Linked DNA regions of Drosophila melanogaster. The protein of the gene in region 2 interacts with the protein of the main gene of each other region in a pairwise test. Each region holds a gene or a part of one and is shown on either strand. Other genes may lie near its edges. The genes, in order: Hsp26 and mRpL19.

The links.
Region 1: the proteins of mRpL19 (region 2) and Hsp26 interact in a two-hybrid assay, tested with the Drosophila melanogaster proteins (one large-scale study listed by BioGRID).

What each region holds. Positions count from the first base shown.
Region 1 is NT_037436.4:9,375,740-9,379,508, forward strand, and holds Hsp26 (heat shock protein 26), read right to left. Parts: upstream 1,689-3,769; 5' UTR 1,450-1,688; coding exon 823-1,449; 3' UTR 679-822; downstream 1-678. Other genes in the region: CG4461 (uncharacterized protein), read left to right, coding at 1-347; Hsp67Ba (heat shock gene 67Ba), read right to left, coding at 2,363-3,700.
Region 2 is NT_033777.3:8,672,150-8,675,871, reverse strand, and holds mRpL19 (mitochondrial ribosomal protein L19), read right to left. Parts: upstream 1,764-3,722; 5' UTR 1,686-1,763; coding exon 1,622-1,685; intron 1,570-1,621; coding exon 713-1,569; 3' UTR 676-712; downstream 1-675. Other genes in the region: Unc50 RNA binding protein, read left to right, coding at 1-299, 355-491; CG8036 (uncharacterized protein), read right to left, coding at 2,317-2,494, 2,563-3,722.

The DNA.
Region 1 (3,769 bases), on a different chromosome or scaffold from region 2:
ATTCCGGTGAGCGTGTCCATGTGGATGAGAAGGGATTTCGGATTGACATCGATGTGCGACAATTTCATCCCCACGACATTGTGGTCAAAACCAATGACGACTATGTCATCGTCCAGGGAAATCACAATCGTCGCGACGAGGGTTCCAATGGCCTGGTGGAGCGGCACTTTGTGAGGAAGTACCTTCTGCCCCGCGGATACAATGCCAATGAGGTAATCTCGGACATATCCAGCGATGGCATCCTCACCATCAAGGCTCCACCACCGCCGCCAGCCAAGTACTACACGCCCGGAGAGAGATTGGTCCGCGTTCATGAAACCGGAAAGCTGGCCCTGCCCTGGAAATAGTGGACCATGTGTCAAAAATCAGGAAGGCAAACAGTGAATGTGTTTTTACCAAACCCAAATCCCAACCATCGAATGCGCCTAACTCAAGGTGAACTATTTTCGGACACCAAGCAATTGCAGCCGAACATTTAAATTGGATTCAAACATAAATAAAATACAAATTGTACCCGTAGTTGATATAATAAATGCGCAATAAATATTTGGTAGAAACACTGGTGTTTACGAATGGGTCTTCACCTCGTCGCGCCCAATTCAAATCTTCAAATCGATATTTCCAAATATTTGCCTCTTTCAAAAACCAACTTTCATATACAAAAGTCACAACAATTTTAATTTTCCACACCAGGTGAACAAAAGGATTTATTAAATTAATATGAGTATTCTAGTCTTTAGCTCATTACAAATACAATGCAATAAATTAGGAACAATTAAGTAGGGGAATGATGATGGATGATGTTGGATGATGATGGCTCCTTTACTTGTCCTTGCCGTTGGGTGCTCCGTTCTCCTTGCCCTTCACCTCGCTTTCATTTGCCTTAACGTTGAGGTGAGCGGGTCCCACTTGCTGAATTTGAATGATGCGCTCCTTGGACTTGTCCTCGACGGCCTGCGGCTTGGGAATACTGACGGTGAGCACGCCATCCGACGACAGCTGCGAGACCACTTGCTCCGCCTTGTAGCCATCGGGAACCTTGTAGCGGCGCACAAAGTGGCGCATGATGTGACCATGGTCGTCCTGGCGTTCCTCATGCTTGCCCTCGACCAAGATGGAGTCGTCCACCACCTTCACGTTGAGCTCACTGGGCTTGAACTGGGCGACGTCCATGCACACCTGGAATCCATCCTTGCCCACATGGGCGGTTGCCGGCCAGTGAATGTCGTTGCGGTTGGCCATCTCGCGCCGCAAAGCCAAAACCTGGCCGGCGGGCGACGATGGGCATATCGGCGATGCGCAAGGGCATCCGTTGATGGAACGGCGCTGCTGAGTGCCAAGGGGCAGCACGTAGCGGGAATGCGGATGCAATCCCAGTCCAAGCTCGTAGATGGGGCTGCGGGGCTCCTGGAGTTCATCCACAAGCGAAAGCAGAGTAGATAGCGACATTTTTACGTTTCCTTTAGGTTATGTTCCTTTTGCGAGATTGAAATATTTTTTCTTTGGTTAAGTTGAATGAACTTGTTTGACTTGTAAGCAAAGGTTTTTAATCCTTTTTTTTCTCGTTTGAAGTTTTGCTTTTGCGCAAAGTTGCTTTGAGTTGTTCACTGCTCGATTTTTGAATTCGATCTGTGCTCTGTTCGTCAAGCGACGCTGCTTTTATACCCGCTGGAGCTTTTCTAGAAGAGTCCGGAAAGTGACAGAAAAAGGAAAGAGTAGAGAGAGAGAAGAGAAGAGAGAGAACGTGCACAGAGAGAAAAAATTATGAATATAGCTTTGTATCGTTTGATAAACGAGGGATCAAATTAGAAATTTCTTTTATAAAAGTCTAAATTGAATGCTGCTCTAAAAACAAAAAATAAAACTAACTAACCTTTCCCAATAAATGCCATGAGTTTCGAGAAATTTTAAATGTAGTTGTTGTCGTACGCGCAAAAGCAGAGCTAGTGCGCCTGTATGAGTGAGAGAGCCGAAGTTTCTAGAGAGTTGTTGCAATTTTCTAGAAAGAGCGCAAAAGAAACAGCCGGCTAACGGCAAACAAAACAAAACGTCAGTTTTTTTTATTCTGGTTTTCCTCTTTATTAAGTACATTATTTCGTGTTTCTGTCTTTAAGTTTTACTGGAATACTTGTAGTTGTTGTCACATATGTTTTTTAGAAAATCATACATACATATAACGCCAGCAATCTCCCACTATTAGTAATTGAGTGCTTTTCCCGTCAGCTTTCTCGCTTCTTTTTTTTTGTGTGAAATGCAAGAAAAGAAAACACAAGAAACACGTATGGAATAAAACGCACGCCTACCCGTGCAGATTATTATTTGTTCTTAATTACTATTTATGTTCTTTCTTTTAGTTCAGTCTTCACTTGGCCAGTTCCTCGGTTTTGGCTGCAGTGGCTCCATTTTCGCCTTGGTTTTTGGCCAGTAGAATGGCCGCATCTACGGCTGCCAGTTCCTCGCCGCCCTTCTCCTCCACTTTCTCTACTTTATCAACCTTCTCCGCCTGCTCCTCTTTGCTGTCTTCCGTGGAGATTTCCGGTTTCTTGGCCAGCGGCATTTCCACATCCTCGGCTGCTGCGACTGCTCCATTGCCGTTATTCGAGGCAACGGGCACTTCGTTGGCATTTGCATCCTCTGCCTTTTGCTCCTCTTCGATGCTTATAACGGGATTGGGTGTGGGTTCATCCACATTGGCAGTCTCTTCGTTTTTGGCCAACGCCACTTCCATGGACTCTGATTCTGGTTCTGCAACGCCATTGTTGGCACTGGAAGTGGTTCCTGCGGTGGAAGGGGCTTCCACTGCAACAGCAGCGGCAGCAGCAGCCTCATTGGAAATGGGGGGCGAAACAGCCGGCATTTCCATCTCTGTCTCTTCCTGACCGTTGCCGTTGCTCTCGGCGAGAGTGAGCGAGAGCGAAGGAGTGGGTGTGGGTGCAGTCGGATTTAAAGTGGAAGTGGTGGCACTAGCTGCCGCCTGCTGCTCTACCTCTGACGGCTTTGGCGGCTGCGCATCCTTATCCTTCTGCTGCTGCGATATCTGCTGGATGTCTACGATGCGCTCCTGTCGTTCCAGGCTGCCTTTGACGACTGGAAGTGGTGGCGGCGCCTTCACCGTCAGAATGCCGTCCGAGGAGAGGGTCGAGTGCACCTCGTTGGGATCATAGCCCTTGGGCAGGATGTACTTGCGGATGAAGTGGCGCGAGATCACCCCGTGGCCATCCTCCTTCTCGTCGTGCTGACCCTCGACCACGATGCAGTTATCGATGGTCTTGACGGTCAGTTCGTTGGCGGCGAACTGCTTCACATTCATGCTCACCTGGAAGCCGTTCCTATTCACCACGGAGTAGGCGGATTTGCTGGCCGCCGGTTGGCCACTGGTGCTGCCGCTTGCCCCGGACGTGCCCTTATCGCCCAATTCCTTTTCCAGCTCCACCAGCGACTTATTGCAGCAAGCAGTCTTGGCTCCGGCCACACGATTGTACGGATGATGGCGATGCTGCGATGCCGCCGACTGACCCTTGATGGGCACCCACATCATTGCATTCCCACGCCCCAACCCACGACTCAGCTGTGGCAACTGTGAGGTGGCCTCCAGTGGATACAACCCGAATCCGGCCGAATCATCTATATCCATTGCCAGGCTGCGATTGAAATCGTGCAGCTCCTCGGCCAAATCTAGTATGAACGGTATCAGCGACATTTTCACTTTCTTCCTATCTGGCTAAGATATATCTTTTATTTTTTAGGTCTTGCGGGGATTGGTGTCGTC
Region 2 (3,722 bases):
ATTCTATGTGGTATTCGTGGACTGTATTTTCGTGGGCATCATAATAGCCTCGTTCTTCTGGGCGGTGACGAATCGGTATCTGCGCACAAATAGCCTGGAGCCGGATATCGAGTGGGGCTATGCCTTCGATGTCCATCTAAATGCCTTCTTTCCGCCACTGATGCTGCTGCACTTCATCCAGCTGTTCTTCTACAACTGGCTGATCAGCCAAACGTGGTTCATCTCGCGATTTCTGGGCAACACCTTTTGGTTGATGGGCATGGGCTATTATGTGTACATCACATTTCTGGGATACAATTGTAAGTTATTAAATGCATCATCAAGTTCTCGAATTAAAAAGCTTTCCTCCTGCAGGCATTCCCCATCTGAAAAACACCCGCATCATTCTCATCGCCCTGCCCATCATCTTTCTACTGTTTCTGGTCGTCACAATTATTGGTTGGAACGCAACGATATCCTTTGTCAATTTCTACAAGTATCGCGTATATTAGTAATGCAATGTGCGTTGTAAATTATTCTGCGTTTAGTTGCTAAGCCACTATACTACAATTATGACTAATAAACTAATTAATTTAGCGTTATCCAAACCATATTATTGCAGCCTCAGTCATTTTTTCGATGATAAAACCATCTTTATAAAGTAAAATCGTGGAAAACTATAAAACAACATTTTTTCGATATTTTTATTCTAAAAAATGAACAACAAATGCAATTACGCCAGCTGCTTGGGCTTAATGAAAGTGCGCTTGCGCTTGTTGCGTTTTCGCTGCAGCTCCAGGGCGTGCAGTTCCGTGTGCACCTCGGCGAAGATCTCCGTCTGCTCCTCCTCGGGAATCGAGCTGCGGTAGTCCTTCATCATGTCGTACTTCTCCCATGGTTTCTGCACCTTGGCCGCCGACAGGCGATGCTTGTCTTTTAGATACTCATCGATGTTGGCCACACCACGCAGATTCTGTCGTTCCCAGCGCTCCAGCCATGGACGCGGACGGAGCACCACCTTAATGTCGTTCACCGGCACCGGAGCACCCTCCTCGAGCGGCTCGGCCTCCATGTTCTCATCAAAAGTACTGTACTCCGGAAGAGCGTCCCGCAGGTAGAAAAGACTGTCATCCAGTCGCTTCTCTAGCCGCAACACCTCGATCTTTAGGATGGTAGGATCATACAGCTCGTAGACCACCTCCATTCCCTGGTGATCAATCACGTTGCGAAGAATGAAACGGGCGCGCAGTCCACAGCGATCCCTATTGATACAGATACCCACAAATCGACTGGTTTTGCCAGCGGCATGGGGATCCGAACTTGTCACCGCAAGCACAGATCCAACGTAGAACTCGGGCAGGTCGATCTGTTTGCGGCGATCCAGCATGTCCAGTCGCTCCAGCTTCTCGCGCACGAGGTTGCGCCACTCCACCTTCGGATCGGGCAGGAATTCTGGGTAAACAAACCGATAATTGGCCGGAATGATTGTCTTCCGGTTCACCGGTGAAGTCGGCGTGGTTGGCGGAGCCTCTTTCTTCTGTTCCTCCTGATTTTCAATTACATGTTCCGCAGTTTTGGTGGAGAAGGTCACTGAAAATACGTTTCCTGAATGTGTGGCACAAGATAAAACGTCTCTCCTTACCAATCCGCTTGTAGACACACTGCTGTGTCAACCTATTCAGCATAACTCTTGTGCTTAAGTTCATTTTGAATAGTTTTCGGGATCGGCTGAAACAAATTGATGTTTAGATAATCATGCCGCACTATAATCAGCTGGCAGCACCGATAGCTACAGCAGAGTTATCGATAACCCTTTATAATTGGAAGGGTACTGCCAACTTGTTAGTTTTAAGCTCCGATTTTTTTTAGAAAAATATTAAAAATTTGTAAATTAAAAAAGTATGCAGTATGCTTAAATTTAAAAAATTTATAATTTTATTCATTTTCTCATCTTATCTTTATTTCAGTATCTATGTCAAATCAACATCAAGCGCATAGCAAATCCAGAGATAAACCAAAGCAAAACCACAGCAAACTAAAAACAAACCAAAGCAAGTCTAAAGCAAACCAAAGGCAAACGCAATGAAATCGTCCAGCCATTTTAAAGGCATGCTTAACATGTAATAAGTAATATAGTAAATAAGTAATATAATATGTAAATAAGGTATATAGTTCGGCTTAACTATTTTTATTAAAGATATTTTATTTCCATGATGTAAGGTTCAAATCAATGAAGCAATTAACAATCTTAGAGGGAATGGTAATATTGGAAGTAAGTAGTAACTGGGGGAATTCCTGTAGGCGGTAAATGAATGTAGCCAGATCACGACTGGTCCCCTAATCCTTGAGGATCTCGTTAACGGCGTTGACGACGTGACGTGCGGAGATGCCGAACATATCGATGAGTACCGACGGAGGACCCGAACGTGGCACGGTGGGCACGTACAAGTGCTTGACAACGAAGTTGCGCTCGCCAGCCAGGGCACTCAGCACAGCTTCACCCAGGCCTCCTTGCCTATAAGAAATTAAGTAAATTTCAAGTTAGCAAAGGAGGCAAATAAAAAGACTACAAAGAACACTTACTGGTAGTGATCCTCCACGACGACTACGCGTCCTCCGCACTGCTTGCCGTGCTCGATGATCAGCTCGGCGTCCAATGGCTTCACGGTGAACGGATCGATCACACGGACGGTGATGCAGTTCTTCTCCAGCTGATCGGCGGCAGCCAGGCACTCGTACAAAGTGATTCCAGCTCCGATCAGAAGCACCTCGTCGGAGCTCTTTTGGCGCACCACCTTGCCGCGGCCAATGGTGAAGGGTTCCTCGTTGTCGTAGATCACACAGGTGTTGGGACGGGACGTACGGATGAAGCAGACACCCTTGGTGTTGGCGGCCAGTTCGACGGCACGCTCCGTGCTCACTGCATCGGAGGGATAGAAGATGGTGCTGCCCGGAATGGTGCGGAACATGGCAATGTCCTCCAGACCCATCTGCGAAGGACCATCCTCACCGATACTGCAGCCGCAGTGGGAGCCCACAAAGTTAACGTTCGTCTGCGAGATGGCGCCCATACGGATCTGATCGAAGGCACGGGTGAAGAAGGTGGCAAAGGTGGACACAAAGGCCACAGTGCGGCGACGGCAGGCGGCTCCAACGGCCACTCCCACAAGATTCTGCTCAGCGATGAAGCACTCAATGTAGCGCTGCGGGTCGAGGTTCTTCAGCTTGTCGGAGAAAGTTGAGTTCTTGGTGTCTCCGTCTAGGGCAACAACACGCAGGTTGTTCTGGCCAATCTTGGCCAGAGCTGTTCCATAGGCCAAACGGGTGGCAATGGAATCACCCAGCTTGTAGGCGGGTGGCGAGCTCAACTTAATGTTGTTGATGTCCACGTCGGGAGCAGCACCAGTCTTGGGCACCGGCTTAGGGGTCAGCTTGACGTTCTTGTTGACAATCAGTCCCTCCAGATGCTTCACCACTTCGGCGGCCTTGTCGCCCAGTGGCTTGCCGTGCCAGTTGTCCAAATCCTCGATGTTGGGGAAGTCCCTGCCCTTGAACGTCTTTGCAATGATGGCGGTGGGCTTGTTCTTGGTGATTGCAGCACAATGGAAAGCCTTGCTCAATTCCTCGACATCATGACCATCGACAACGACGGCATTAAAGCCGAAGGCCTCCAGACGATCACGGTAAACATCCAGCTTATGCTGCAGGGAGGTGGCCTCCGACTGGCCCAAGCGGTTCACATC